Stegostoma tigrinum: one gene and its partner. The protein of the gene in region 1 purifies or fractionates together with the protein of each later gene. This does not show direct contact. Links are inferred from orthologs where the notes say so. Each region holds a gene or a part of one and is shown on either strand. Other genes may lie near its edges. The genes, in order: hspd1 and NAD-dependent protein deacetylase sirtuin-3-like.

Evidence for each region.
Region 2: the proteins of hspd1 (region 1) and NAD-dependent protein deacetylase sirtuin-3-like purify together in Homo sapiens (affinity purification with mass spectrometry; 3 studies listed by BioGRID and IntAct, counting the BioPlex papers as one, with this or other methods). This does not show direct contact. The link is inferred for Stegostoma tigrinum from reciprocal best matches to the Homo sapiens genes HSPD1 and SIRT3.

Annotation. Positions count from the first base shown.
Region 1 is NC_081360.1:31,734,071-31,750,656, forward strand, and holds the start of hspd1 (60 kDa heat shock protein, mitochondrial), read left to right. Parts: upstream 1-10,382; 5' UTR 10,383-10,506; intron 10,507-10,892; 5' UTR 10,893-10,895; coding exon 10,896-11,069; intron 11,070-16,491; coding exon 16,492-16,586. Other genes in the region: hspe1 (10 kDa heat shock protein, mitochondrial), read right to left, coding at 8,296-8,346, 8,432-8,521, 8,846-9,010, 9,841-9,843. UniProt on the Homo sapiens protein: Chaperonin implicated in mitochondrial protein import and macromolecular assembly. Together with Hsp10, facilitates the correct folding of imported proteins.
Region 2 is NC_081370.1:34,912,402-34,928,784, forward strand, and holds the start of NAD-dependent protein deacetylase sirtuin-3-like, read left to right. Parts: upstream 1-9,918; 5' UTR 9,919-9,933; coding exon 9,934-9,943; intron 9,944-10,078; coding exon 10,079-10,241; intron 10,242-10,669; coding exon 10,670-10,855; exon of another isoform or gene 10,856-14,165; coding exon of another isoform or gene 14,166-14,182; intron 14,183-14,454; coding exon 14,455-14,687; intron 14,688-16,145; coding exon 16,146-16,246; intron 16,247-16,383. Other genes in the region: psmd13 (26S proteasome non-ATPase regulatory subunit 13), read right to left, coding at 3,402-3,436, 3,522-3,600, 4,344-4,438.

The DNA of each region.
Region 1 (16,586 bases):
ACATATTTAGCTGTACTATCTTCCTGTTCCTAACCTCACTGGCATGTGGCACAGTAAGTAATTCTGAGGTTACAACCTAGAGGTCATGCTTTTCAACTTCCTATCCAACTCCCTGAATTCCTTTTGCAGGACCTCATCTCTGCACCTGTTTTTGCTACCAATATGGACCACAGCCTTTGGCTGCTCACCCTTCCCCTTCAGAATTTCCTGTGCCCACTCAGAAACATCTTTGACCCAGGCACTGGGGAGCAACTCACCATCCTAAAATCCCGCAACCACAGAAATGTCTACTGTGCACTTGACTCTAGAGTCCCTATCATTACTGCTTGCTGAGACTTCAACTCTCCCTGCTGTACAACTGTACCAGTTGTGGTGCCACTGATAATGGGAACTGCAGATGCTGGAGAATCCAAGATAATAAAGTGTGAAGCTGGATGAACACAGCAGGCCAAGCAGCATCCCAGGAGCACAAAAGCTGACTTTTCGGGCCTAGACCCTTCATCAGAGAGGGGGATGCGGAGAGGGTTCTGGAATAAATAGGGAGAGAGGGGGAGGTGGACCGAAGATGGAGAGAAAAGAAGATAGGTGGAGAGGTAGTGAGGGGATAGGTCAGTCCAGGGAAGACGGACAGGTCAAGGAGGTGGATTGAGGTTAGTAGGTAGGAGATGGAGGTGCGGCTCGGGGTGGGAGGAAGGGATGGGTGAGAGGAAGAACAGGTTAGGGAGGCAGAGACAGGCTGGGCTGGTTTTGGGATGCAGTGGGGGGAGGGGACAAACTGGGCTGGTTTTGGGATGCGGTGGGGGAAGGGGAGATTTTGAAGCTGGGGAAGTCCACATTGATACCATTGGGCTGCAGGGTTCCCAAGCGGAATATGAGTTGCTGTTCCTGCAACCTTCGGGTGGCATCATTGTGGCACTATAGGAGGTCCATGATGGACATGTCATCTAAAGAATGGGAGGGGGAGTTAAAATGGTTCACGACTGGGAGGTGCAGTTGTTTATTGCGAACCGAGTGGAGGTGTTCTGCAAAGCGGTCCCCAAGCCTCCGCTTGGTTTCCCCAATGTAGAAGAAGCCACACTGGGTACAATGGATACAGTATACCACATTGGCAGATGTGCAGGTGAACCTCTACTTAATATGGAAAGTCATCTTGGGGCCTGGGATAGGGGTGAGGGAGGAGGTGTGGAGGCAAGTGTGGCATTTCCTGCAGTTGCAGGGGAAGGTGCCGGGTGTGGTTCCCCCCACAGTGGTCGAGAACGCCCTTGACCGTGTCTCCCGCATTTCCCGCAACACATCCCTCACACACCGCCCCCACCACAACCGCCCCAAGAGGATCCCCTTCGTTCCCACACACCACCCCACCAACCTCCGGATACAACGCATCATCCTCCGACACTTCCGCCATCTACAATCCGAGCCCACCACCCAAGACATTTTTCCATCCCCACCCCTGTCTGCTTTCCGGAGAGACCACTCTCTCCGTGACTTCCTTGTTCGCTCCACACTGCCCTCCAACCCCACCACACCCAGCACCTTCCCCTGCAACCACAGGAAATGCCACACTTGCCCCCACACCTCCTCCCTCACCCCTATCCCAGGCCCCAAGATGACTTTCCATAATAAGCAGAGGTTCACCTGCACATCTGCCAATGTGGTATACTGTATCCATTGTACCCGGTGTGGCCTCCTCTACATTGGGGAAACCAAGCGGAGGCTTGGGGACCGCTTTGCAGAACACCTCTGCTCAGTTCGCAATAAACAACTGCACCTGCCAGTCGCGAACCATTTCAACTCCCCCTCCCATTCTTTAGATGACATGTCCATCATGGGCCTCCTACAGTGCCACAATGATGCCACCCGAAGGTTGCAGGAACAGCAACTCATATTCCGCTTGGGAACCCTGCAGCCCAATGGTATCAATGTGGACTTCACCAGCTTCAAAATCTCCCCTTCCCCCACTGCAATTCAAAACCAGCCCAGTTCGTCCCCTCCCCCCACTGCACCACACAACCAGCCCAGCTCTTCCCCTTCCCCCACCGCATCCCAAAACCAGCCCAGTTCGTCCCCTCCCCCCACTGCATCACACAACCAGCCCAGCTCTTCCCCTCCCCCCACTGCATCCCAAAACCAGCCCAGCCCGTCTCTGCCTCCCTAACCTGTTCTTCCTCTCACCCATCCCTTCCTCCCACCCCAAGCCGCACCTCCATTTCCTACCTACTAACCTCATCCCACCTCCTTGACCTGTTCGTCTTCCCTGGACTGACCTATCCCCTCCCTACCTCCCCACCTATACTCTCCTCTCCACCTATCTTCTTTTCTCTCCATCTTCGGTCCGCCTCCCCCTCTCTCCCTATTTATTTCAGAACCCTCACCCCATCCCCCTCTCTGATGAAGGGTCTAGGCCCGAAACATCAGCTTTTGTGCTCCTGAGATGCTGCTTGGCCTGCTGTGTTCATCCAGCTTCACACTTTATTATCGTGGTGCCACTGATCTGGCTGCTATTGCTGCTTTCATCTGAAAGGCCATCCCTCCCCCTCCCCAACCTCTAACAGTATCCAAAACAGTTTACCTGTTTGAGCAGGGGCTCCTACAGTGTCTGCCCATGCTTACTTGTCTTCCTGGTGGTCACCCAACTCTTCTCTGTCTGTCTAGCCCTTACAGATGATGTGACCAACTTGCTAAATGTGCTATCCATGACATTCTCAGCCTCATGGATGCTCCATTGTGAATCCATCCTCAGCTCTAGCCTCTCCATGCAAATCAGGAGCTGCAGATGAACACATTTCCTGAACATGTGGTCACCATGGACACCGGATGTGACCCTGATTTCTCACATACTGCAAGAGGAGCATTCCATGGGCCTGAGTTCTCCTGCCATTTTGAGCCTTACCAACTAAAATCAACCTTATCAACTATAGCAACAGTCCAGAAACTGATTACACAACCTAATCCAATAGTCACCAAACTCAGGTCTTTCACTCCTAACAGACTACAACTACAAAAAGTAAGTCCTCATCTCATTAAGATTCTGCTTGTCCCTGAGCAGCCAAGCCTACGTCACTTTTTGAGTCATGATATCGGCTCCAGAGTTCCACCCCTAGATTCAGCTCCATGTTTACTCTGATGACTGGCACAGTGTGAAAGAGGTAGTTTGCCCCATTAAGTGTGCACCAATCCACAGACAGATTCCCCCCCCAGACCCAGCCTTCCATCCTATTCCTGTATTTACCATGGCCAATCCATCTAACATGCACGTTTTTTGGACTGTGGGAGGAAATCGGATCACTGAGCAGAAGCAGGGAGAACGTGCAAACTCCACACACACTGTCAGCCAAAGCTGGAATTAAACCTGGTGCTGTGAGGCAGCAGTACTGACTGCTGAGCCACCTTGCCACTCACAGCACTAGGTTCTCTCTTTCAAGTCATGCTTCAGCAAGACATAGCCAGTTTATCTTTTCAATCAATGTAGCAAAAGTCAATGGGAAATCATGTTCTTTCAAATTCTGGAAAATTGCAGCAACTCTTATCAGTCTGTGACGTCAAAGTCCCACAAGAGCCAAGTAGCAGATTACACAAAATTTGTAAAATGAAGTAAATAGCTAAAAGCTTGTAATAAACTTTGAGAAAGCTTTGAAAAGTTGCTGCAAGGTGGATACTGTGGCATGTTTGTGCACTGGTCTTTGAAGGTGGCAGACCAGATTAACAAAGCAGATATAAATAGAGGCCAAAAGCCAGGAAGTTATATGTAAAATTTGTATCAAACAATTATTTAGAATATTGGGCAGAATTTGCTCATCTTAAATTAGTGTTTAGTTAAGATTCAAGGTTTAAAGCAACTTTTCTTGCCAAAAATTGTAAATGCCACCATCAGACCATTTATTACCTTTGGAATTGTGCCCTGTACCCCTAAATCCAAGTATTAGAAGTTCAAGTGATCGTACTACTGAGTGGCATAAGAGGATATGCAGGAACTATTCTAGCCATTGTCATAATCTTTCCTCATGGTCAAATTATTCAATTAGTGCTATAAAACAACAGAAGTAGAAATTGTATAAAGATCTAACTACTTATTTGTCTGTGCAAATTACTCACGTGTTCTTCAGATCTGAAATTTCAGTTGATCTGCATAAATTCATGATAAACTCAGTTCAAGGATTTAACTTCACAGTGACATATGATCTCCAAGCCAAGGGGGAGAAAAGTCACATTTTCATTATCAGTACTATAACATATCACTCTTAGCACAATACAGTTACTACCTTACATTGTAAGGTCAATACCACTTGAATAAATCAAATATGCAGTTGAGTAATCCCAATTATAGAACCACTAAACTGTGACACTTCCCTTTCACCCCCACTTCATCTCTGGCCAAAAGCTTTATATTCACATTAATCTATTTATATCGGTGGGGCAGCGTGGTGGCTCAGTGTTAGCACTGCTGTCTCACAGCGCCAGGGAGCCGAGTTTGTCTCCAGCCTCAGGTGACTCTCTGTGTGGAGTTTGCACATTCTCCTTGTGTCTGTGTGGGTTTCCTCCCACAGTCCAAAGATGTAAGTGAATTGGCTATGCTCAATTGCCCATAGTGCCCAAGGATGTTTAGGTTAGGTGGGTTAGACATGGGAAATGTAGGAGAATTGATCTGCGTGGGATGCTCTTCGGAGGGGCAGTGTGAGGTCATTGGGCCAAATGACCTGTTGCCACACTGTAAGGATTCTATGATTCTATGAAGTATCAGTTTAAGAATATTAGCAACAACGAAGGAGTATGTTAACGGCAGTTTGGACTGAAATTACAAGTAACTGTAGTTAAGGCATAAACTTGATTGACTAGATTCAAAAACACAAATTGCATTCATGAACCAACTCTCATGACTTCAGATAACAGAAGATTTGGAAGAGATGAACAGTATGCAGTGACAGCAATATAATATCAGCTATGATAGACGCAGGAGAAGGATATAGTGTGGTCAGCAGTCCATACCGTAGAGAAGGTAAACTCAGAGAGAACATGAGGACACAGGAAAGAAAGATGCTGATTCAGACAATGAACATAGGTAACCTTGATTTGGTTGCTAAAGGCAGGGACAGATAGCCAGATAGTGACAAAGTCCATGCGCACTCACACTTGTCCATCTAAACTTATGTTCTCTCTCCTCTGATATTTACTGCCCTTTTATTGTCAGTCCTTCCATGTGACACTCTAACCCAGTTTGATGGTCACGCCCTTGACCTTGTCATTTTCATGCTGTCCTACTAGTCCTATCATATCAATTGCAGATAGGCTATCTCTGATCTCTTGCTTGCACCACTCACCATTCACATTCCCTCCATACCTCAAAACCAACTTCCTTCCATATCTGTCTCTAGAAAAATCTATCCTGCAATTTTACTTACAGCTGCAATTTCAAAATCTGAAACATCAAGCCTTTAGCTCTCTATTAACATTTCTGCAACTACTGATTTACTCAACTGCACCCTCATCTCCACCTTGGTGTCCTAGTCACTGTTAAACCATATGCCCTTCCACTGTGGCTGGTTCCTCAAAATGAACCACATCTCCAACTCCAAGGAACACAACTAAAACAGCAGATAACTGCTTTAGCCATCACTGCCAAATCTGATTGAATCACTAGTGGTCCTGCTGTTGCCAGTTAAACTTTGTCACTATTCCTGGATCATACTGAGAAGCCAGATTTCAGCTTCTTTTCTGTACTGCAGACTGTATTTCTAAGCCCTTCTTCCTGTTCACTCCTATCTTCGCTTTGAATGAGAATTATAATACTCTTGTCACAGATGACACAATCTAACCAGCTTGTTCTGCAATGTTTTCCACTTCCATTTCCACTAGCCCACCTGACTAAATTCCTTAAATGTTTCCCTGTGCCCGAGCACTGCACTCTCATTTTTCTATTTTCTGCCATTATCTCCTAAAGCCTTCAACTGAATTCATTTTGTCCATGAGATCTACCTTCTGGTCAAACTGATTACCCCTGCTGGCACCCACATCTGCTAATATTATGAATATCAGTTCTCTCTTTCTTCAGGTGTTGTTCTTTCCTCCTTTAAGTCTGCTTTAAATTACTCTGACTTCAAAAAAAAACTTGCCAACTATCAATTCATCTCCAACCTGCTTTCCTTTCTGAAGTCCTCGAAGACCAAATTCATTCCAAATTTTTTGATTGCTCCAATTAGGTTTCCACTCCTTCTGCAACCTCTGACATTACCATCCTCCAACATCTCTGCACTGTTACTCAGCAGATTGAAACTGTTCTCTAATGATTCTATTCTTATCTAAACATAACCAGAGAATCATTCAAAATGGAAAACCGAAAGAACTGTGAATGCTGGAGTCAGAAGCAAGACCTGAAATTGCTGGAAAAATTCACCTGGTCTGGCATCTTTGTAGAGAAAGCAGAGTTAACTCTTGAGTCCAGTGACCCTTCTTCAGAAATGAAACAAGTTCTGAAGGAGGATCACTGGATCCCTGGAACTGAAATGTTAACTGCTTTCTCTTCACTGATGCTGCCAGGCTTGCCTTGTTTTTTCCCGCAATTTCTGGTTTTGCTTATCATTTGGAATGGCTTCTCTTCCTGCTCCAACAACATTATCTCTCATTTTTTCTAGGATCGATCTTTGACAATGCCTTCCCATTTCTCGTCTACATGCTGCTTTTTTCAACATCAGTTAAAGACAATGCAATTTTTTTTACATGTAGCCTGATAACACCCAGTTCTATTAGCACACTTCAATCGTTGCCTTATTATCAGACTCATTATTTATCATCCATTCATGAAAGAAGAGTTACAGAGTGACAGGACCTAATGCAAATTTAGACATACGTAGCAAAGAGACAGCAGTGATGTCATTGGACAAGTAATCCAGACTCTCCAAGTTAATCTTCTGGGAAACATGGGTTAAAATCCCACCATGGCAGTGGTGAAATTTGAATTCACAAAGGGCTGTTACGGTAGCACCGTCTCTGGTCCAACATAGCTGGCTTCTCGTCCCATCTGCCCCAGTCACATCATGAACATGTCCAAAAAGGTCAAGTAAATTAAGTACACCTCTCCACTTCTCTACCTCACTTGCCTTTTTTGAGACACTCCTCAAAGCCTCCCACTTTGATCAATTGTTCATTTAATTTCATGTAGCTCTGTGTCCTGTTTTTCTTAAAATAATGCACTGTCCCAACACCTTTAATGTTTCATTACATTAAAAAGGGCTCCAGATATTGTTTCAGGTATAGCTTTAAGAAAGCTGTTGATGAATAAACAACTATATATCCTTGTTTTTCCAGGATGATCCTGGTGTATGGAGCAATTTTAGTAGAAGTGAGCAAGATCCAATAATGTTTCATATGATTACATCTAGCCTGACTGTGAATGGCCAAACCAGTTGTGCACCACATGTACTAAATACCCCTTGAACTGAAGTAAAGCTGGGGCTAAATAACCAGAGAGAAAGGACATTATGGAGGTGAAAATAATCAATCAACAGGGGAGGCGACAGAGCAAGTGCACAGATCAAAAGATGAAGTAGCGCGGCTAACAGAAGGCCAATGAGCAGCTGAAAATAGCATTTTAATTGGAGTTTCTTCCAGGTTATACCTGGAAGGAACTGAGGGTAGGAGAGAGCTGAGAGCAATTAGAAAAAGCAGCAAACAGATGTTGTCATATATATTAAATGATGGAAACAGGTCACAAGACAACACAAAGGACTGCCTTTAAACAGAATTATAGGAAGAGGAGGAGAAAAAGCAGTGAGATTGTGATTGTTGGTGTTTTCAATGAGGCAAAGCTGAAGGATGTAAAGAATGAGCATCTTATAATTAGGGTAGTCTTGGACGGACAGTACAGAATGAGGATTTTAAAAATGAGCAACGATAAAGAAAATTCCTCACTTAGAATGTATTGAAATACTTGTGTGTTTCATGCAAAATGAACTAGTACTTCTGCAGATCACTGTAGTCATATTGACAGTCTTAGATGCATTTTCCAGATGTCCATGGCACATTTACCAAGTGATTTTACTGCCACCCTTTCAAAAGTTGGAGTTTTCAAAGTGAAATGAATCACTTCTGAAACAAGTTGACTAGTTTAGATTCATAATTTTATGTTTATTATTGGAAAATTCAACTAGCAATGAGATCAATCACAGTAAAACAGAAACTTGTGTGTTTGACATTGAATTTATTGTACCAAAGCTGGAAAAAGTGGTATTTACAGACTAAGACAAAAAGACAGCAACTTCATGGAATGGCCAGTTTCTTAAAACTGAAAGAAACATCCAACATTCATGCTGTGTATTTTCCAAGAATATCTCCATCTCTAAACAAGTAGTAATCCTGAGGAAGAAAATAAAAATCATCAAGGAGAAAGAAATCAATTTCTAAATACAGTCAAAAGAACTACTAAGACAATAGTACCAACCTTATCATCCAAGACAACTTTAGTCCCTCCATATTCTGGGAGTAGAACTGTTTCACCAACTTTTACATTAACGGGGTGAATATCACCATTCTGAAATGAAAATGCAAATGATCCACAAATTAATGTTTGTGAACAGTGCTCTAGCCAAAGTTTATAATGCACCGTACAGAAATTTGCACTTTTTGCTTATCTGTGAATTTGCAGCAAGTTACAAGTAGTAGTACTTGTAACTTGCTGCAAATTCACAGATAAGCTTTCTAATTATACCTAAGAGAAATTATACCTAAACTTAATAAAACAAAACAGCAGGCCACTTTGGAACACAGTATAAAAATATAATCTATTGGATCAGACTTTGTTAATGTAATAATCACAAGCATTTAGTTGATTAGGATTTTGTTTTCAGAAAACTACCTTTACTCGGCTGCCAGGTCCAACTGCTACAACTGTTGCTTGAAGTACTTTACCCTGGGATTTTTCTGGAAGCATGATGCCACCTTTTGTTACCTTCTCTGCTGCCACCCTTTCCACCAAAACACGGTCAAAAAGGGGCAGAAACTTTTTAAATGCCTGTCCTGCCTGTTAAAATAAAACGTTTCAGTTACCTATTAACCAACAGGTTACAGACCACATATTGAAAGCTTTACCACTTCTGAGATCTACAAATAAAAAGGTCAACCCAAAATGAATCTTGAGAGAAAAAGTGATAGCTGAATTTTTTTGTTATAAAGAACTAGATAACCTGTCCTTAGACTGTTAGCTTAGTTTTCACAGCTATTATGAATATATATAAAATAAACTCCTAAATGTAACATCATTAGAAATAAAAAACCATGATCCAAATGCTGAAAATGTAACATATTACCTTAAGAAGGGCGTAAAACAGCAGCTGAAGATATTAATATGGAAAAAAATTATTTCTCAACATAAATGTTGAGGACATTTAAAAATCAAGCTCATTTGACCTTGAAACTGTCCCCAACATCAAATCTAAAATCGTTAAATAAGTTGCACGTAACAGATCATCATTTTTATCCAAATGTCGGTGTGGTTACATAGTAACAAACGTAGTTCTTCAATCCATTACTTTTGTTACAAACTGATCTGTAGTAGCGAGACAGGTCACAAGCACATTTGTCCTTTCATTCATCAGGATTGTAACCAGTCGGTGGCCTGGCGAATCATTTCCCTGCTAGAGTAGGAATATTTCAAAAGGATCATATTCCCTGTTTGAACTGAGCTATCAAACACGATAAATTATTTTGTATCCAGCACATGCTCAACTGGATTTAAAACAACGCAACTTACCATTTCAACATCAGGAAGTCACAAAAATACTTATCAAGAACAATACGTAAATCGGTTTATTCTTCTCATTCAGTATATCACAAACAAAAACGTAAGCTTACCATGCCTGCTACCACTTCCAGAAAGCACTAGAAATAAGACACCTCCCTGCAGCAGCAATTATGGCAGTCTCTCCACGTGAGGAAATACCTTCGAACCCGAAGACATGACCTCGAACGTCAGAGGAATGTTACATTTCAGAGGCATTTTCTAAACTGAAATCCACACCTGAGCAAAACTTTGGCAGCATTTTACACTCATAAACACCCAAAGTAAATTTTGTTGCAATTTTAGAGAAGAAATCAAGAAATAAAATTATTGCGCAATAGAACTGTGCACTTTGACCCAACCTACGTTAAGCGTCTGGAAGTTTCTGGAACTCGAACCCCTGAAGCTGTATATGAACTGCTTCGCGTGCCTGCTTTTAGTTACAAGTTGGTACTAAATCCTATGAGTCTGGTGCTGGGATATCCATTGGTGGTAGTGAGTAGGTGGCTATTTGCTTGTCGAAATGTTTTGGCAGCTGTGTACCTGGAAGTGTTGGTGGTGTTAGAGTATCCAGAGTAAGGGGCGGGCGGAGACTTCTCCCCGCTGCAAACCCACGTGTTCTCCGAGTGAGACTTGGGCTCAGTCCTGGCGGTTGTGTAGTTTGCGTAGCTGTGGAATTTGGTTGAAGCTAGGGCTATTACTGTCTTGTTTACTACTTGTTTTTCTAAATAAACATTTTAGTAAGTGGTATTATGCAGAAATCGGTTTGGTTCGTATATTTTTGAAAAATTTTGCAAGCTACAGGCGTTTCCTTCTATGCCAATGGATTGAGACAATGAATGAAGACGAGGAATCAGAGTTCCAATGCTGGATGTTAGACAGACTAGCAGTTACATGTTATCTTTACAGACCTGAAGTCTCTCTTAGTCTAATTTGAGGCATATTAGTTACTTTTGTTTTGCATTCCTCGTTATTTTGCGGATTGTTGAAGTACTTTAATTTGACCTTGTGACGTGTGTCCCCTAGCGACGTGTGGGGAGGCCCATGTTACTGACACCATACGCTTTTAAAAAATTTAACGTGTAGTTAAAAGGTTGATCGGTATTATTTCTCTTCTCCACTGCAGATAATGCTCCGTTTGCCAACCGTTCTACGCCAGGTAAGGCCTGTAACTCGTCTACTTGCACCTCATCATGCACGAGCTTACGCCAAAGATGTAAAATTCGGATCCGAAGCTCGGGCTATGATGCTGAAAGGAGTTGATCTTCTCGCCGATGCAGTGGCTGTAACCATGGGACCAAAGGTGGGTCAGCGTCTACTGTGGGCTTAGAACTCAATATGCAGTTTGATATTATGGAAACATTCCAAAATATTTATGCTCCTCAAAACTAGAATAAGTACTCATTGCGTTAGATAATGCCGACATCAATAGAAATAGTAAAACTGTTGATGATGCAGGATTGGCTTTGGACATGTACTTTATCTTTTTTGACAAAAACAGTTAGGATTATTAATACTTAATAGTAGAATGGCCACAGTTATTTGAGAACCTTCAAAAATATTCATAGCCACAATTTGAAGCTGCAACATTGTCATAATCTTCAGTATACCACATTAGCATGAGCTGCCCATCACAAGACAGGTGGATAGTGATTTATATTTTGATAACAATAACTGAGGCTGCAACTGGGACTTGATGCAGTGAATTTTGAGTCTGCTGTTTGGTGACGTGCATGAAAAATTCATGTCTGAACCAAGCCACCAAGAACGATGTATGCCAAATTTAAAAATTTATCAAGAGATATTAAATTAATTGAGCAATGGACAAACTTTCCTCATTCTTTGAGAAAAAGGAACTCTCATTTTTTTGCAGATCTAACCCTAACTTTGTCATCAAGCCTGCCGATAAGGGTGGCGCTGTTGTCTGGTGTACTGACCTCTGCCTTGCAGAAACTGAGCACCAGCTCTCCAATACCACCACTTAACTTCCCCTGGACCATGACCCTACCATGGCGCATCAGGCCGTTGTATCCACTGTGGTTACGGATCTCATTTCATCTGGTGATCTCTCTTCTCTTCTCTTCTCCCCCCCCCCCCCCCAAATCAGCTCCAAAGCTAATAGTCCCCCAAACCCGCACAGCTGATTTCTACCTGCTGTCAGAAATCCACAAATGGGACTGTTCAGATAGACCCATTGTTTCAGCCTGCTCATGCCCCACGGAACTCATCTCTTCCTACCTTGACTCAGCTCCCCTTGTTAGTCACCTAACAGTCCCCATTAACAACTATTCGCCCTCCCAGCCTGATTGCTAGCAACTCCTTTGTCTGTCAACTGTCTTTCTCTCTCTTCGGGCTCTATCCTATCATTTACTCCTATCCACCCACCTCCCTATTTTCTGCATATAAACTGATGTTTTCTCAGCCATCATCAGTTCTGAGGAAGGGTCCTTGGACTCGGAACGTTAACTCTGTTTTCTCCTCCACAGATGCTGCTAGACCTGCTGAGCTTTTCCAGCAACTTTGTTTTTGTCTGTTTTTTTCTTTGCAGTTAGTTTTCCTTTAGAATAAAATCCAGAAAAATGGTGTGTATGTCCCATAGCATGGATCTTCTTATTAGAAGCTTGATTTGAGCTCTTAAACAAAAACTAAATTAGTGTCAGTTTTAATTACCCTTAAATGTTTATACATTCTTGAAAAAAGTCACTACCTCTGTTCAAGCCCCTGAGAAAAATGAATTGTGATGAATTGATTTTTATATTGTGGTCCCAGCACATCAAGTAATGCTTGCTATGTTAACTTGTAACACTGAAGAAACCACTAGTTTCTGCAAAGTCATTCTTTGGTTTTCTTTCAGCTAGAAACTAGAATTTCACTCTTAAAAATACAAATTCCTCATTCCACATCTTCTAAAAGGCAACTGCAATAGGAGTCTGAGATTGCATGTCACAGTACTGTTCTAATAAACTATTAGCATTCGTCACTCTACCTGCTTGAAAAATTCACTGTCAACGTTGCTCTCACTTGTTTCATTATTAACCATAATACAAAGTCTAATCAATTTCTTACAAAGGATTAACTTAATTGAGATAACAAGGTGTGGAGCTGGATGAACTCAGCAGTCCAGGCAGCTTCAGAGGAGCAGAAAGCTGATGTTTTGAGTCTGGACCCTTCTTCAGAAATTGGAGAGGGGAAGGGGGCTCTGAAATAAACAGAAAGAGGGGATGATGATAGAAAGTGGATAGTGGATCACTTAGGTGGGAGAGAAGATGGACAGGTCAAGGAGGCAGGGATGAGGGGGGTGCTGTTCTTAGGACGTGGTCGGGAGTGGGGAGATTTTGAAGCTGAAAGTCCACGTTGAGACCATTGAGTTGGAGGGTTTCAAGGTGGAATATAAGGTTGTTGTTTTTCCAGTTTCTGGGTGGCATCGTTGTGATGCAGGAGGAGGCCCAGGATAGGCGTGTCTTCCAGAGAGTGGGAGGGGGTATTGAAGTGGTTCGCGACTGGAAGGTGTTATTTGTTGCGAACCGATCGTAGGTGCTCCACACAAGTCTCCAAGCCTCTGCTTGGTCTCGCCTATGTAACGAGAGGCCACATCGAGAACCGTGAATCCAATAGACCACATTAGTGGATCTGCAGGTGAACATCTGTTTAATGTGGAGGGATTTTTGGGCCCTGGGATGGGGGTGTAGGGGCATGTGGTAGCGCTTCCTATGGTTGCAGGGAGAGGTGGTGGGGCTAGTGGTGAGTGTGGAGTGGACGATGGAGTCGCAGAGGGAGTGGTCACTCCGGAAGACAGATAAGAGTGGGGAAGGAAGTCTATCCTTCATAGTGGGGTCAGATTGCAGGTGGCAGAGAATGATCTGTTGAATCTGGAGGTTAGTGGGGTGATATGTGAGGATAAGGGGAATACTATCTTTGTCTCTATCGGAGGGGGGGTAAGGACTGAGGTGAGGGAAAGACTAGAAATGTGGTCGAGGGCATTTTCAACCACTTTTGGTTGGGGGGGTGTGGTGATAGCAGTGCTTGAAAAACGAGGACATCTGGGATGTTTGGGAGTGGAACGCCTCATTTTGGAGAGGTGGAGGCGGAGGAATTGGGTATAGGGGATTGCATTCTTGCAGGAAGGTAGGTGAGAGGAGTTATAATCTAGGTAGTTGTGGGAGTCAGTGGGCTTGAAATGGATATTGGTTTCAAGGTGATTACCAGAGATGGAGACAGAGGGGTCCAGGCAGGAGAGAGATGTATCAGAGATGGTCCAGGTGAACTTAAGGTTGTGGTGAAAGGTGTTAGTAAAGTTGATGAACTGTTTGCACTCCTTGTAGGAGCATGGGTTGGCACTGATACAGTCATCGATGTAATTGTGGAAGAGGTGGGGCTTGGTGCCAGTGTAGCTGCAGGAGAGGGATTGATCCATGTATCCTACAAAGAGGCAGGCACAGCTTGGGCCCCTGCAGTTACCCATGGCCACTCCTTTCGTCTGTAGGAAGTGGAAGGAGTCAAAGTTGTTAAGGGTAAGGACAAGTTCAGTTAGGCAGATAAGGGTGTCGGTGGAGGGAGACTGGTTGGGCCTGTGAGAGAGGACGAAGCGGAGGGCCTTTAGGCCCTCTGCATGGGGAATGCGAGTGTACAGGGATTAGATGTCCATGGTGAAGATGAAGTATTAGAGGCCAGGGAATCTGAAATTTTGGAGGAGGTGGAGAGCATTGGTGGCATCCCAGACGTAAGTAGGGGGGGGTTCCTGGACCGGGGTTGGGGGGGGGGGTGCGGTGAGAATAGTCATGATAAATTTGGGGCAGGAGCAGGGGAAGGCAATGGGTCGGCCAGGGCAGTCGGATTAATTGAGATTTTCTGTCGTCTAGTTGTATACCCATTAAGATGGTATCTACTATGCTCATTAGTTTTGGTGCACCTTCATTATACTAGCCTTTAGAAGGTCCGTATGGATTTACTGTACACTAAAATAGTCCTTCATTGGTAGTAGCATGCAATAATTCTTGTAAACATTTGATGCCAGCCAAGTCAGTGAAAAGGTGATTTAGGATCCTAACCAGCCTTTGACCATTCCATTTGCCATAATATTTCTCCTTTCTGATTTATTGATTTATTCAATTGCACACTCAAACTCTTTCATATGTTACTGTCTAAAGTAGAATGTTTGTTTTTATTAAAGTTATTGATTCTGTTCAGTTTTTAAATTGCATGTTGAATTGATTCTGGAAGTGTAAATTTGTGTGCATTCCAGTCTCCAATTAATCTCTAGCTCTCATCCAGGCTTTTCCCTGGATAAGACCTGCCACCACAAGATCTGGCTGGATAAAAACTGTTAACTGCTATAGTGAACACTTATCATTTTCATCGTAGAATACAAAGATAACATCCTGTGCCTTTTCTCTTGCACACCACTTGCATCTGTCTTTCCCCTGTCTCCATCTCTCATCCGAGTGTGAGAAGTTTGTGGACTTCTTTACCAATAAGATTGGCAGAACTTCATCAGCTGCTTTTGTCATGTCCCTTCCCTCAGTTGGCTGGATGTTAATTTGCATTGCAGAGTGCCAACAGTATGTGTTCAATTCTTCAATGGCCAAGGTTAGCACGAAGGACTCATCAATTTCTCCCCTTGCCTGAGGCATTGTGACCCTTGGGTTAAACTCTTCAGTCATCCCTGTCTGTCATGAGAGCAGCCCTGTGATCTAGTTAAGATTATGGTGATTTTACCTTGACATCTGATAAACGTCCTTCCATGTTTCCTCTGTCCTAGCCCTGAGTGGTTTTTCCAGTTGCCCTGTTTGTTTATGACATTTTGTAAATGAGACCTATCTTCTTTATAATCTGAATCCTATTTCTAAAAACTGATCTCCGACTTTTCTCTCCAGGCCTCTGATATTAGCTAATATTGTAATATTTTCCTTTGAGTATTGTCCTCTGAAATCACTCTCTCACCCTTCGACATCACCACCTTTTGTAAAATACTGCTGTATCTCTTGGTTACAATTGCTTGACCAGTGGTTGTGCCTTGTTACCTCAGTCCCCAAAATCATGAATTCTCTTCCTCAACCCCTCTGCTTCTCTACTTCACTTTCCACCTTTTTAGGATTATTATTAAAACCTATATTTTCAATTGAGCCTTTGGACATCTGACATAATATCTCCTTCTGTGGCTCATCTTTGTTTGGCAACATGCCTGTGAAATGCCTTAAAAATATTTAATTTACCTTGAAGACAAATCACTTGTCACCTCTCATGTTAATCGCTTTTTCATCTGACCATGACCAATGAGATTGCCTTGAGCAGCTAACCTTTTTTTTAAGGTGAGTTTATAGTCCAATCTCATTGGGTTTTTTAAAATGGCCAGGGTATCCCGAGCTATGATGGGTTTCAGCACCATGTTTATCTGAAAGCATTCCATTACTTAGAAACTAGTGTGTTCGTAAGGGGCTTTATTGATTGTATAGAGATCAGACTTTTGTTTCCGGAGTGAGTGCGTACTTTTCTCCACAATTGCTTTCAACCAGTTAGTGATTTGCTCATTGGGAAGCATGCACTTCAAAGTTGCTTCTGGTTAAGACCTGCTCATTTTTGCAAGGCCTGGGAAGGCTGAAGGTGTCTGAAACCTTACAGTGCAACTGCAGATGTTGCTGCCTCTATGGTATTAGGACAACAAAATAAGGATAAATTCAAGTATGTGTATAACAAACAGCAATGTCTCAATGTTTGTTTTTATCTAGGGTCGAACAGTTATTCTAGAACAGAGTTGGGGGAGTCCTAAAGTGACAAAAGATGGAGTAACAGTAGCTAAAGCAATAGATTTGAAAGATAAGTA
Region 2 (16,383 bases), on another chromosome or scaffold:
TTCCTCAGCCCAGTCAACCCTGCAATATTCTCATTAAAGCCAGAAAATTTGTACCTAAATTGAGAGAGACCTGTCCCACAGACTAATCAAGACCAACTTGGTACAATCATACCCACCTATCATAACTTAGACGATAACCCAGGCTCCTCCACACCATCCCGGGGTATGCCAGCAGGACAGACTCATTAGATGTAGTAGGATAACGGAACATAGCTAGATGGAATTAGCTTGGGCTGCTGTAATATTGACCAAGGACCCCAGAAGCTGTCACTGCAGTAAACAAAATAGGCAAAAAAACCTCCTGCTTTCTGTCGACTGCCCTTCCCCAACTGATGAATCAATAATCCTCCACATCGAGTATCACTTAGAATTAGTACCAATGGTAGGGAGAGCACAGAAAGTAATCTGGGATGAAACTACACTACCCATCAACAGCTGCTCAATGGGGCCACTAGTCATTGAACTGATCAAGTCCTGAAGGGTGTAGCTGCTGGACTGCTTCTACAGTAGATGGTGAGGAATCCAACATAAGGAAAATCTGGTTTGACTAAGTATACATCCATAACAGCAGTAGCACAAAGAGCCATTACATATCTATTGTTAAAACTAAGTTTATTTTTGTGCTGTGTATGCCCTCCATCATGCCCTGAACACCACCACTATCCTAAAAGGGGACAGATTCAAAATTCATTATCTAGGAGCTACCATGGACCATCAATGGCAGAATTATGAACTCATGACCCAGCATGTATTTTACTCCTTTTAGTTGGGATCATGTTCAGCATGGACTAGTTGGACTGAAGAGTCTGTTTCTGTGTTGCACAACTATGACACTATATGCTGGGGGTTCAATTCCAGTACAATGAGAAGTTCAGGGGTAGCTCCAGGCATACCCAACAGTACCAATCTGTAGTTACGTTTTGTTAAATAGCAGTAACAGCCAGCAATTGAGCTAAGCAATCCCACAAGAGAACAGATTAAGGGTCTGCATTCCCACTATATCACAGCATAAATGTGAACAATTAAGAAACTAACAGGAGAAAGCGGCTCCGTAAATATTGCCAGCGTTTGAGAAGCCCAGCACATTATAGTCATACAGCACAGAAAAAGAACCTTAATCCAACTCATCCATGCTGACCACATATTCTAAATTAATCTAGTCCCATTTGCCAGCATTTGGCCCATATTCCTCTAAACGCTTCCTATTCATATACCCAGCTCTGAACAGGTTAATTAGAAAATATCTAAACAGCAATAACCCATTCACTGACATTTAGTTTAGAATTCAGCAATTTGGGCCAGTCAGCTCACATCATTATAATCTTGCCCCAAAATGAACAAATGAGCTGCATGTCAGAAGCGAGGTGGGTAACTGCCCTAGACATCAAGGTGACATTTGACCTGGTGTGACATCAAGAAGCACCAGCAAAATTTGACAACGGGAATCCAAGGAAACTTCTCCCTCAGTTGCAATTTTATCTAGTACAAAGGAAGATGATTGTGACTGTTGGAAGTCAATTATTTCCACGGCAGGACATCACCGTAGGAGTTTCTCAGGGTAATGTCCTTGGTCTAATCACCTTCAGTTACTTCAATGACCTTCACTCCATCATAACATTTGATGTAAGGATTTTTGGCTGATCACTGCAAATTGATTGGGGCCTCAATTGGATATTTAAATAGTCCTTGACCATATGCTAGAAAACACGGATTACATTCAGACTTGGACTGAAAAGTACCAAGTACCAGATAATTACCAAAGCCAACAAGAGAGAATCTAATTATTTCCTCATGACACTCAATTGTAATTATCACTGAATCACATTATGTCAACATCAACACGCTAGGTGTTTTTACTGGTCAGAAATTGAATGAAACCAACAATACAAATACCGTGTCTATAACAGCATATCAGAGACTGGGAATTCTGCAGCAAATAACAACTCCTGACTTGCCAAAAGCTGTTCCCTATAATAGAAGGCACAAATCAAGAATGCAATTCATCTCCCCACTTACCAGATAATAATTCAACACCTCAAATATTCACTCCCTCCAAAACTGGCACAGTAACAGCAGTGCATACCAGATATAAAATGCACTGCAGAAACCCATGAAGTCCTCTTTCGAAGATGTCAACTCTTTCTATAAGGATCAGTGACAAAAAATTGGGCTCCAGGACAGAAAACAGCAAGTCATTCGTTTTTCAGACTGGCAGAGGAAAGTGGTTTTCCCCTGGAGTCATGCATGGGACTACTTTTTTTTGATACATATGTATGACTTTAATTGTGGAACATGGACTAAAATTTGAAAATTTTCCAATTGATGCCAAACTGAGTTGTGGCAAAGTGAGGATGAACATATCACCTGTGACAGCACTTTGCCAAACTATCAGAACCAGCAGACAAGTGGCATGTGAAAATTAATGCAGAAAAAACAAGGAATAATTTTGGAATAACAGATAGGTAGTGGCAATGTAGGCTTTTTAGCACATTGTTTAAATGTTTAAATAGAGGAGGAGCTAGGAATTCGTGCATATTGATCTTTTAAGGTAGCAGGGCTTTTGGGAAAATTAATTTGGAAGGCATAAGCAATCCTAATTCCCATAATCAGAGGTATTAAGTTCAAAAGCAAGAAGTTATGCTGAATCTTTATAGAACTTTTTCGGTCACAGCTGTAGTATTGCATCTAATTCTGGTCACCAGGCTTTAGGAACTAAGGAGCTACTGAAAGGCTGCAGAAGCTATTTACCAAAATTTGCCGAGAAATAAGAAATTGTTCTGTGTTTTTTACTCCTTAGAGCAAAGTAAATTTAGTGGAGATTTAGTAGAGGTCTATTACATTGTCTATTTTACCTAAGATTGCACAATGGAAATCTCTTCCCGTTATGTTATATCAACAATGCAGCACAGATTTATGACTCTCGGAGACAGGTGAAACAGGGGTATGATTTTGCCATGAAAGAACACACAAAGTGGTTAAAAAAAGGGTCTGGAATTCACTGTCTCTTAAAGTAGCAGAAATGGGGACAATTAACAATTGCAAGAAAACAAATTCAGATGAGCATTTAAGAGAAATAAACTTTCAGGGCTTCAGGGAGAAAGATGAAGAATTAAGCAGCTTGCTCTACAGAGATCTGTGATCTATTCCAGAGCAGACATGCAGTCTATGAACAAGTGGTTTCATTCTGTAAGTCACATCCAAGTCTCTTATGTCACTGGGAAAAGAAGGTGATAAGTTCTTGAACCAGGGGAATTATGGAAGAGGTACCAGCAGACAGAGATTAATATGGAATTGCACTAGCTCAAATTTAATAGAAAAGATGGCCTGAATAGCATCTTCCATGCTGTTAATTTTCAGTATAATATACTTTTAGGTGTAATTTTTAAAGAAGTATTTCTTACCTGTGTTCAAATTCACTAATAAAATTCTCATACAGCTGCAAAATAAAAGTTTTATTATATGATGAAAGAAGCCAACTAAAATTAGTATGTTGAAGGGAATGTTGAGGTTAAATCACCCACCTTGATCAGACCATCACCTGTGGCGAAGCAGGGATTTTGAACAAAGTTCTGGAGTCGGACAGTCAACTGGTGCCACAGTCTGCATTTAAAACAAGTCAGGGTTACAGCGTGGAGGCATCAGGAGCCATTAGCACCATCCAGAGGAAATCAACAACAGATACAGATGGCTCATTGTTGAAAACTGCTAGTTCCAGTATCCTCATCCTAACACAGAGATCCTCACTTCCCGCTTGTCCCAGATAACAAAGCGTGGAGCTGGATGAACACAGCAGGCCCAGCAGCATCTCAGGGGCACAAAAGCTGACGTTTCGGGCCTAGACCCTTCATCAGAGACGAGGATGGGGAGAGGGTTCTGGAATAAATAGGGAGAGAGGGGGAGGCGGACCGAAGATGGAGAGGAAAGAAGATAGGTGGAAGGAGGTGCAGTGGGAGAGAGATCCCCGAGGTTTGTCCGGAGGGTAACTTCTTCAGGTTAGGCATCCTTGGAAGAGGCTTCGCAATGAGGTTAAAAGGGTCCAGGCCCGAAACCTCAGCTTTTGTCCTCCTGAGATGCTGCTTGGCCTGCTGTGTTCATCCAGCTCCACACTTTGTTATCTCGGATTCTCCAGCATCTGCAGTTCCCATTATCTCCCGCTTGTCCCAGCCCACTTTATCCCGCCTCCTTTACCCGAAACCCCCAAAAAGAGTACAATGTCGGGACCGGCAAGGCCTGAGACAGACAGACACAGAGGGTTCAGAGAGAAGGGCCTGGGCAGTGACTCAGCGGGGGCCAGCCCAGGAATCGGGGTTTCGCTGTAACGGGGCAGAGAGGCTCTCACTCACTTTTTGTTGTAAAGCTCCTCCATTTGCTGCCAGTCAGGGCCGAGCTCTCCGGCCCCGATCTGCTGCTGTTGGAGGAACCCGCTCACATCCCTCATGGTGCCGGCTGCCTCTGTAAACCGCAGGCTCGGCTTCTGGCTGCGTCAAGGCCGCACGGCTCCAACCGGAACCGATCACTACAACTTCCGGTACTGTAAATACCGCAATATGGGGCACCGCAGAACTCAACCACCTTCATCACCCGCCACCGGGTACAATGTCCCCCATCCCCCCACCCCCGTTACCGGGTACACTATCCCCCATCTCTCCCCATTCCCCCCCATTACCAGGTACACTGTCCCCCATTTCCCCCCGCCCCCGTTACCAGGTACACTGACCCCCATCTCTCCCCCCCCCATTACCGGGTACAGTGACCCCCATCTCTCCCCCCCCCATTACCGGGTACACTGACCCCCATTACCGGGTACACTGTCCCCCATCCCCCACCCCATTATTGGGTACACTGTCCCCCATCTCCCCCCAGTACTGAGCACATTGTCCTGTCCCTTCTCTCCCAGTAGTTTGACATTTTTTTAACGGAATCAGTTCTTGAACAAACAACTCCGTGTAAGAGACAGAGGTAACACGGTTACTGTCTCTGTGTAAGAGATAGCATGAACTGGAGATGCTGGAGGAACACAGTTCCTGATTTTGTGTTCTTCCAACTCTGTAATCTCGGTCTACCTCCCCTTGACCAGGCTCCATTCCTTCCAATCCATCACCCAGGATTTGGGGATAGTAGGAACTGCAGATACTGGAGAATCTGAGATAACAAGGTGTCGAGCTGGATGAACACAGTCAACATGGCAGCATCAGAAGAACAGGAAGGCTGACGTTTCGAGCCGAGACTCTTCTTCATTTCTGAAGGAGGGTCTAGGCCTGAAACATCAGCCTTCCCGCTCCTCTGACGCTGCTTGGCCTACTGTGTTCATCCAGCTCGACACCTTGTCAACCCAGGATTTGGGAACTGGTCTCTGGGTCAGATTGAATTCATTCCCCTGTTGTGTCTCAGACCGTCCGACACTCAATACGTTTTATACTCAATCCTAGATTTTCATTACAGACTTCAGCCTATCTGCCTCCTGGCTGATCTGTACAAATGGCCCAACAGTCTTTCTCCATATTCCTGTGAAAGTAAATTAATCATCAACCCCTTTGGAAAGTGATACTTTATTGTACCCGAAGTGAAAACTTACCAGAAGCCTAAAGACAGTCCTGAAGAAGAGTAATACTCGAAATGTTGACTGTTCCTTTTCTCCAGATCCTGCATGGCTTGCTGAGTTTTTCTAGGCACCCGTCTGTGTATCATAAAGACAGACTTGCCTTTTTACTGTATTTACAAACTGTCAAAATAGCGACAATTTCAAAAATATCTTGAATATAATTTGCTTTATTTGGCACCCATCAGATAGACACAAATCAAAAGACAATACCCCGAGGTTTCATACTTGCCACTTCAAGCTGCCCCATTCAGTCACTTGGGGCGCATATTCCCTTCTCTGATGTTTTGTAACCAAATGCAAAGATGCTCAAAGAAAATGGAAATAAAGTTTTATTCTTGTTTTTTTTCTCTCTCCCTGTTTTGCAGTAGTGTCAGGAAGATTAACCTTTAACTGCTGGATCCTCCTTTGCTAATTCTACTACTCGCGGTGTCATATGGACTGGCCCAGTTTGTTTCTGAAGGGGCTGCTTGTTGGAAAGTTACGGTATTTGAAGACATTTCATCAGAGAGGCATCAGGTGAGAGCAGCTCTTGTTCAGACAGGGAATATTCTTCACATCAGAGTCCAGCTACCACCCAGAGGCAGCACATAGCAAGAGGTAACAATCAGCAATACCCTCTACACTGAGAATTGGAGCAGAGAGTGCTCTCATTTGCCCTCAAGAACCTGATTTACCATTCAGTAGGTGACTGATTCCTATCTCAATTTCACTTTTCTACCCTTCTCCTATATCCCTTAAGTCATAACGTTGTACAGCAAGGACACAAACCCTTTGTCCAAGTTGTTCATACCGACAAGATATCCTAAACTGATTTAGGCCCATTTGCCAGCAGGTGGTCCATATCCCTCTGACCTCTTCCTATTCACATAGCCATCCAAATGCCTCTTAAATGTTATAATTGTACCACCTCCACCGCCTCCTCTGGCAGCCGTTCCATGCACACGTCGCCACCTACATTAAATATTGCCCCTCAGGCCCTTTTAAATCTTTCCCGTCTCACCTTAAACCCTACCCTGGGAAAAAGACCTTGGATATTCATCCTGTACATGTCCCTCATGATTTTATACACCTCAATAAGGTCACCCCTCAGCCTCCAACGCTCCAGGGAAAATAACATCAGCCTGTTCAGCCTCCAATCCCAGCAACATCCTGTAAATCCCTTCCCTTGGTATTCAAAATCTATCAATTTCTGTCTTGAAATGTATACGCGATGATGAAGCATCGAAAGATTTCTGGGAGAAATAATTCCAAATGAGTCACAACCATATGTGAGAAACCATCTCTCCTGGGCCCATAATAATTAGGCTCCTATTCATAGACTGTGACCACAAGTCCCTTTAAGAATTTTATTGATTTTGAATTAGATCACCAGGCGTCTTTTCAAACTTCAGGAAATATAGGCCTGGTATACTCAAATGTCTCCTCAGAGGACATCTTGTCATCCCAAAAATTAACCAAGTGAACCCTACATTGCACTCCCAATGGGATAAGTATTTCCTTCCCTGGGTAAAAGACACACATTACTATTTCATAAAGACCATAAATTGTTATATTACAATATCTTTATTTCTTTAATCTAATTCTTTATAACAAAAGGTGACATTCCATTTTTAGGAGGCACTTGCATAGCAGTAATGTCATTGTGTTAGTAATCCAGAACCACAGGCTAATTAACGCTCTCGAGACATGGATTCAAATCTCACCATGACAAAATGGCTAACCCTCAGCTGCCCTCTGTGCAATTGGGGATGGGCAATAAATTCTGGCTTAGCCTTGGAAGCCCACATAACACGAACAAATACAGTAAAAGATGAGTGACTGGTTAGATTATCAGTCAGAAAATCTAATGAGGATATGTTGGACAGACTGGCCATGTTTGCACTTGAGTTTAGAAAAGTGAGGGGTGCCTTGATGGAAGTGTGGAAGATCATGAATGGTCTAACCAAGATGGACACACAATGCGTGCTCCTGGGATGCTGCTGGGCCTGCTGTGTTCATCCAGCCTCACATTTTATTAACTTGGACACAGAATGGATGCTTCTTCTTGAGGGTTAGTTTGAGAAACAGGGAATGTTGTTTTCAAATTAGTCAGTGCCCTTTTAAGGTAGAAATAGGATATGTTTTCTCTCAGAGGATTGAATGATTTTAGAACTGTGTGTCTGAGAAGGCAGTGGAAGCAGGGTTATTGATCTATTTTTAAGGTGGAGGTAGATAGACTCTTTAAGGCAATCACAGGTTTTCAGAGGTAGTTGTTATTGTGGAATTCAAAACACAAAAAAACCAGCCATAAGCATGTTGATTGGTAAAGCAGGTGAAAGTGTAAATGGCCCACTTGTGCCATTTTATATGTTTGTATACATACCCACATCTTTCTGTTCACCTGGGATCTATTCACACCAAGCTCTGTATACTCAGTATATACCCACATCGTATTGTATGGGTTCAGGAAATGTTGTGCATTGGACACAGGCCTATGCTTGATATATACCCATAATGAATGTACCCACACCAAGCACCCCACATCGATATATAAGTATACTGAGCATTGCCCATTCAGCGTAGATTCACACACAACACTGTACATCTGCTATACATTTATACTGATTGCTATATACCTGCACTGCGCTCTGCATGTCGAGAATATATGTTTGATTACTGGACGCCCAGCATATATCCCACAGAAGCTTCTGTGCACCTATATGTATTGATCCTGATCCCTCGGTTTGGCTCCCTCAAAAGTACAATGCTCCGCTGCTTCTTCTACAGTACTGCTCCATTTGCAGTGCAGCGCTTCCTCAGAACTGTGTCCCCCTGTAGCGCAGCGCTCCAACCTCCGGATACAACGCGTCATCCTCCGACACTTCCGCCATCTACAATCCGACCCCACCACTAAAGACATTTTTCCAACGCCACCCTTGTCTGCCTTCCTGAGAGACCACTCTCTCCGCAACTCCCTTGTTCACTCCACACTCCCCTCCAAACCCACCACACCCGGCACTTTCCCCTGCAACTGCAGGAAATGCTACACTTGCCCCCACACCTCCTCCCTCACCCCCATCCCAGGCCTCAAGAAGACTTTCCATATTAAGCAGAGGTTCACCTGCACATCTGCCAGTGTGGTATACTGTATCCACTGTACCCGTTGTGGCATCCTCTACATTGGGGAAACCAAGCGGAGGCTTGGGGTCCGCTTTGCAGAACACCTCCGCTCGGTTCACAATAAACAACTGCACCTCCCCGTCGCAAACCATTTTAACTCGCCCTCCCATTCCTTAGATGACATGTCCATCATGGGCCTCCTGCAGTGCCACAATGATGTCACCCGAAGATTGCAGGAACAGCAACTCATATTCCGCTTGGGAACCCTGCAGCCCAACAGTATCAATGTGGATTTCACCAGCTTCAAAATCTCCCCTCCCCCCACTGCATCCCAAAACCAGCCCAGCTCGTCCCCGCCTCCCTAACCTGTTCTTCCTCTTACCTATCCCACCTCTCCTACCTCAAGCCGCACCTCCATTTCCTATCTACCAACCTCATCCTGCCCCCTTGATCTGTCTGTCCTCCCCAGACTGACCTATCCCCTCCCCACCCATACTCTTCTCTCCACCTATTTTCTCCTCTATCCATCTTTGGTCCGCCTCCCCCTCTATCCCTATTTATTTCAGAATCCTCTGCCCATCCCCCTTTTCTGATGAAGGGTCTAGGCCTGAAACGTCAGCTTTTGTGCTCCTAAGATGCTGCTTGGCCTGCTGCGTTCATCCAGCTCCATACTTTGTTATCTCGGATTCTCCAGCATCTGCAGTTGCCATTATCTCTGCTCCCTCAGTACTGCCTGTCTTACAATACAACAGGCTGGCAGTAATACTTCTCACACAATACAGCGTTCCCTTGATCCTGCTCCTCCCATAGCACAGTGCTCCCTCAGTACTGCTCTCCCCACAGTGTAGTGCTCCGTCAGTCGTGCTCCCCGAGTACTGCTCCCCCTACAGTGTCACGCTCCTTCAGTACTGCTTCTCCTATAATACAGTGCTCCTTCAGTACCACTACTTTCACAGTACAGGGTTCTTTCATAGTGTTCCCTCAGACCTGCCTCTCCTATAATACAGCATGCCTCAATTCTTCTCTTCTCACAGTACAGAGCACTCTCACTTCTGCTCCACCCACAGTACACTGCTCCCTCAATCCTGATCCTCCTTTAGTGCAGTGGTCCCTCAGCACTGCTTCTCCCATAATACAGTGCTCCTCCTTTGGTGCTTCTACAGTGCAGTGTTCCCTCTACTGCACCTCTGCAGTCCAGCACTCCCTCACGACTGCAGTGTAGTGCTGCCTCAATGCTGCATAGTGAGTATCACCATGTACTTTAGGCTTTGGAGTGGTGCTTGACTCCATGACCTCTAAATCAGAGGCAAAAACAAAAAGAATCATTGAGCCACATGTGATACATGATAATTGAATTGTTTTCTGTCCTTATTTCAGTTGGAAACATGAGTTTTGCATTGTATCAGAGTCTCACCTGGACCCAGCCTGGTTTCTTTGCTACTCGATGGTTACAGTTTAATCATAGCTGCATCAGAAATTTCCAAACTGGAATCCTGACTGGACTCAATATTTGCAGACAGGCACACAGCAAGGGCTCAAGGTACAAAGCATACATAAATGAGTTGTATTTACACTCCCTGAAATTGATAGATCAAATATTGTGTTTAAAGTAATGATGATGTTAACAAGTTAACAGTGATCTCACAAGCATTAAGTACGGAAATCAGGAAGCTGGTATTTAAACTGTTCTGCTCCTTCAGAAGTTTCATTTCACCTGTATGTCACTGTGAGGCTCAGCATTCAAACAATATGGAAATGTTGAAGCAGGGTGAAGTTGATTTGACATTGAATTGACTATTCTAATCTGTTTCAGACTTCTAGAGTTTGATCAGTTTTGGAACGTGGTCCTGTGCTGTCTGGGATTGCATTAGATACTCGCGGAGAGCAAGGATGCATGTAGAACTCAAACCTAAAATTATTCAGGATGGATTCTAGTCCATTCTGTGGGTGTTTTATATATTGTTACAGAATCCGCTGTGTGAATCGTTCATCAACCTCATCTTTTGTCCGGTACATCTTCAGTGGGAAAGGAAGTGGTGAGAGAGTGCAGTCACTTAAGGACATCGCAAGGCTCATTCGGAACAGGGAGTGTCATAGGATTGTGGTGATGTCTGGTGCAGGAATCAGTACACCCAGCGGAATCCCTGATTTCAGGTATCCCAACCCTGGCATTAGGAATCTCATAACTGACCACCAACAGCAATGACAATCAACCAGTAATGTTACTGTGCAACAGACTATCGATGTGATTAATCTGAGGACTATAACAATGAGTAATGGACTGCACTGTGCTGTTATCCAGAGAAGCACGTTTGTTTCCCCTCTCATGTAGAAGGAATGATACTTTACATAGAATCTTAACTCCCAACAGTTTTTAAGGCTGGGGATCAATTGAAAATTTCAAGGCTGCAACTGATAGATTTTTGTTAGGTATTGAGGATTATAGAACCAGTGCAAGTAGATGGAGTTAAGATACTGATCAGGCATGAATTGAATGTCAGAGTTGACTCAAGGGCTCATTGGTCCTTTCTATTCCTGTGTTCCAAAAGCAGGAATATAAATCCATGGTTTCCAGTCTGATAGTTGAGTTTTCAGTGTTAATTGGAAGCTCAGTGTTACCCAGTTGGTTAATAGTAGGGCTACATGTATGATAAACAGTCTATAGAATCTGTTTAAAAGAGTCTTTACATGTTGCAGGAAACAAGGCTCAGGACTGAGGCTGCAGCAGTATCTCCTAATGAAAACAAGATTTCGGTTAAATATTTTTTATTTGTATTTGAAGTATGTCAAAGTGATATTCAGTTGTGTTATGATCAATATTTCCCACTTGGCCTTTTACAATAACATTTGCAGTTAACCTTGCTTCATTGCACAATGCTAAATTTAATTTAGATTTATCCCTTGTTGGTTCCACAACATATTGCTGCGGAAACGGCCATGAAAACATCTTGCAGACAATCTTTTCCAATTTAATTAGTCCAATCAATATGAAGATAAACATACTCCACAACTATTACAAATGCCAATAATTTCTTGTTTAATTCTTCATTCAGTGTATATCTACAGTTAAAGGGCCTATAAACTGTCAGCACTTTTTAACTCTTACCAGTCCTAATCCACCCAATCTGATTCTGTTTCCCGACTTTCTGAACCAAGTTAATTTTTCACAGATGTCCTTATGTTATTGTTAATTATTAGTGCTAGTTAATCCAGTAATATCTATTTATCAAATTAAATGGCTTATTAATTGCTCAGTATTTTTGATGTGATGGGAGCATAATATGGAACAAAATTAGACAGTTTCAGAGGTATTTCTAAATCAAATACTTGAATTGTACGAAGCTTCGAAAGAGCCATTATAGTCAGAATCAAGTAATTTGTAAAGTAAAACCAAAGAGCTGCCAATGGTAAAGATCCGAAACAAAATCAGAAATTCTTTGAGAAGCTCGGCGGATCTGGCAGCATCAGTGGAGACAAAGCAAGAGTTAACATTTTGAGCCCAGTGACTCTTCTTCAGGAGTGATAGTAGCTCGGAAAAGGTGGTATTTATGCTGATAATGGGGTGATTAGGGTGGGTGAGGAGCACAGAGAGTCCAGAGAGACACAAATAAAGTTAGGCAGACAAGCACATAGTTCGTAGTAAGCCAGGAAAGGAGAAAAAGCTGATAACAGTGTCCATGAGTAGGCGAAAGCAGCATTAACGAGTATATGGTGTGGGTTTGGCTAAAGGACATGGAAGGTAGAGTTCAGGCTGTAAATTTGTTGAATATGATATCGAAGGCTACATAGTCCCTGAATGTAAGACGAGGCGCTGTTCTTCCTGCTTGCGCTGATCCTTGCTGGAACACTGCAGAAGTCAGAAATATTGCCCGGTGAGCACATGAAGTGGCAGGCAACTGGAAGCTTGGGGCCATTTTTATGGACATAAAGTGGGTGATCTGCGAAGAGGTCACCCAGCCTGCGTTTTGTCTCCCCCGTGTAGACGGGATCACATTGTGCACAGTGAATACAGCAAAATAGATTGAGTGAAGTGCAGGTAAATCATGGCGTCACCTGGAAGGTATGACTAGGGCCTTGGATAGTGAGGAGGGAAGAGGTAAATGGATGACTGTTACACCTTCTGCGATTGTATGGGAAATTGCAGTGGGAGTGTGGGGTGCACTTGGGAGTGGGGAAGGAGTTGACCATGGTGTCCTGGAGGGAATAGTTCCTGTGAAATACTGACAAGGGGAGGAAGGAGAATAGATGTCTGGTGGTAGCATGTGGCTGGAGGTAGTGGAAATGGCACCTTATGATACTTGGTATACACGTGTAGGTGGGTGGTAACTGAGGACCAGGGTGATCTTATCACTATTGTGGAAGGGAAGGGAAGGGAAGGGCTGAGGGCCGAAGTGCAGGAACTGGATCAGACACAACTAAGGGCCCTGTTAATCACAGTGTTGGCGAATCCTATGTAGAGGAAAAGGTGGGAATTTCTGCAGAAGGTGGCATCATCAGAACAGATGCAATGGGGATGGAGAAACTGGGAGAATGTGATGGAGTCCTTACAGGAGATAGGGAGTGAGGATGTAACCTCCAGGTAATGGTGGGAGCTGCTTGACTTTTAGTGGATATTGGTGCCAGCCTACCCCCAGAAATGTAAACAGACAGTCGAGGCAGGGAAGGGGGCAGTCAGAGATGGATCAGATGAAGGTGAGAGCATTGTGGAAATTGGAAGTAAAATTGATAAATTTTCCCAATTCTAAATGCGAGAAGGAAGCAGCACCAATGATGTCATCAATTTACCAGAGAAAGAGTTCTGGGGAATGACCCAAGCAGGACTAGAACAAAGAATGTTCCACGGACACACAGAGACAGGCATAACTAGGGCCCACCTACCCACTCACTCCTCCTCCTCCCCTCCCCACTGTGGTCAGAATAAATACCACCTTTTCCTAGCTGCTGTCAGTTCTGAACAAAGATCACCGGACTTGAAATGTTAACTCTGCTTTCTGTTCATAGGTGTTGCCCGATCTGCTGAGTTTCTCCAGCAATTTTGTTTTTGCTTCAGATAATCTGTGCTTGCTAGAATGAGGTTATTCCTCGCACTGTTTCTGGAGAAATCCTCTTGTTCAATGACATATTCCTACCCAAGCTCAGTAGGTGAGGGAATTGATCAATGTTTCCTCGAAGCTGCACGCGTATAGCGGCTCCAGCCTTCTGTATGTGGCAATCAGCACCAGCATATCTTGTCACATCCTTATCTTGCCAACTCCACTCTCTCTGGTAACTCTTTCTGGGTAACTGCCTGTCCTGCAATCTCTGTAGTTTAAATGGACTTTGGCCCAGTGTTGATCGAGTGTTTTTTTCTGTGTTGGTGTCTACAGGTTCTCCTGATAAGTTCACCCTTGTGAGAAAGCACCGAGCTTCTAACCCAGGGAGACTGAAACACATATTTCCGAAATGAACTCAGGGCCATCAACACATGACTGACTTGTTCGGGTACCTCTGCAGGGATTTGGTTTATGTAAAAATTCAGCGCTCAATGTGAATCAATTGTTGTCATCTTGCTTTCTCCCCTTTCATCTCCAGGTCAGAAAGAACAGCAACAAATGATTGGCTTTCTCCTGAGTTGTGGAAATGTTTGTTCAAGATCATTGTGTTCTGATCTGTTGCTGTGATGTTCTCACAAAATGGATGAAGTGGCAAGTTGGAATCATCCTAGAAATTGATACTAACTGTTTTAGTTTTCATTTCCATTGTTACATATTCAGGTCACCAGGCAGTGGACTCTATGACAACCTACAAGAATATGACATCCCATACCCAGAAGCCATCTTTGAAATCAACTACTTTTCCCACAATCCAAAGCCTTTCTTTGCTCTGGCCAAGCAGCTGTACCCTGGAAACTGCAAACCTAACTACACACACTACTTTGTCAGACTTTTACACCATAAAAAGTTACTGCTACGAATGTACACTCAGAACATTGACGGCCTGGAACGCAGTAAGTAGGTTTAAGTGTTGGAAAAATAATAAAATAGAGCTCATGGAGTTAGAAATGAAATCAGCAAGGATGGTTTTCAAAGGGTGTTGAAATGTGGAACTGCCATTCAAATGCCAGTGGATACTTGATTCAGTTAGAACTTTCAAGACTAATTTTGAGCAATGGGCTGGCAAGGAATGATGCGGGGGTAAGTACAGAAGAAGAATAAATCAGCCTTCGTCTGATAGAATTCCAGAGCAACCTGGAGGGCTGCGTGGCCTTCTCTGATTCAATGTAACTGTTTAAGGGAATGAATGGCTTCCTTGTGTTACTACGAAACAAACTGAAGGAACAGAACGGCCTTCCCTGTTAATGTTTAGCAGACTCGAGGAGCTAAATGATCTGCTCCCGCTGTTTTCTTGTATCAGAGGTTCAGAGGCTGAATTCCTTTGTTTACAGACTGAATGGCATCTTCCGCTTGCTCTGTTCTAATTTTCAGATATGGGTACCCGCGTTACAATGATGCCCACATGTGGCCAAATGTTGCCCACATTTCTGCAATAGATGTCTGGAACACAAGTGAACACAGACTTGTGACTTCGCTGGAGCTATTGTATACAAAGCAACTTTAAAAATAAATTATTTCAGAAAGGAATTGAACAGGCAGTTGAGGGAAGGAAATGTCCAGTGCTATGGGAGAATTAGATTGACTGCATTGTTTTGGAGGGAGCTGGCATTTATTGAATGGGCTGAATGACCACTTTCTTTGCCATGTGAATTGTGACTATTATTAGTGTGCTGGGCTTCTGGTGAGTTGTAAAAGTGTAGTGAATTAAAGACAATGAATTATAGTCACTGAATTACAGAAGTCACCATATTGAATTATAGTAAGTGAATTATAAAATTCACCATACTGAATTGTAGTAAGTTAATTATGATATTCACCATATTAAATTATAAACGGTGTATTATAGAATTCATCATATTGAATTATAGCCATTAAGTTACAGAATTTATCGAATTAACTTACAGTCAGTGAATTATAATATTCCCCATAATAAATTATAATCAGTAAATTATAGAATGCTACAGCACAGAATGAGGGCTGTTGAAACATTGAGCTCGTGATGACTGAAAGAGCAATTCAGTCTATCCCGCACTTTTCCCAATGTCTTGATAGTTTTAAAATCCTTTGAATATATCCAGATCCCTTTTCAGTCTTCCTTTTGAATCAAGTGACCACTGTCTAAAATCCTATGCTGAGCACTGCCCACAGAATCTCTCTGTATAGACATTGAGAACAGGAAGTTGATTGAGATGCCCCCCACAGTTTAGTAGTCACCTATTCTAACAGTGCAGGTGGTTTGTTGATGGATCCTGAGAAGAGTCTGAAACTTTGGAACCCAGGAAGGGTGAGGACATCAGCGGTGCATCTTTTCATCCCTCAGTGACTGCCTTCTCTCTCCCGCTGCATTTCAGTGGCTGGAATCCCAATGGAGAAATTGGTGGAAGCTCATGGAACATTTGCTACAGCGACGTGTACTGTGTGCATGGAGAACTTCTCCTGGGAACAGCTGAGGGTAAGTGACTTCAGACAATGAAACATTACTGAAGCAAAACTATTAGATAACCCAGAACACTGACTTCAGTCTCCTCTGAACACTGACCACAATCCCCCCGGATGCTGATCCAGATCCTCATCATGTACACTGACCCC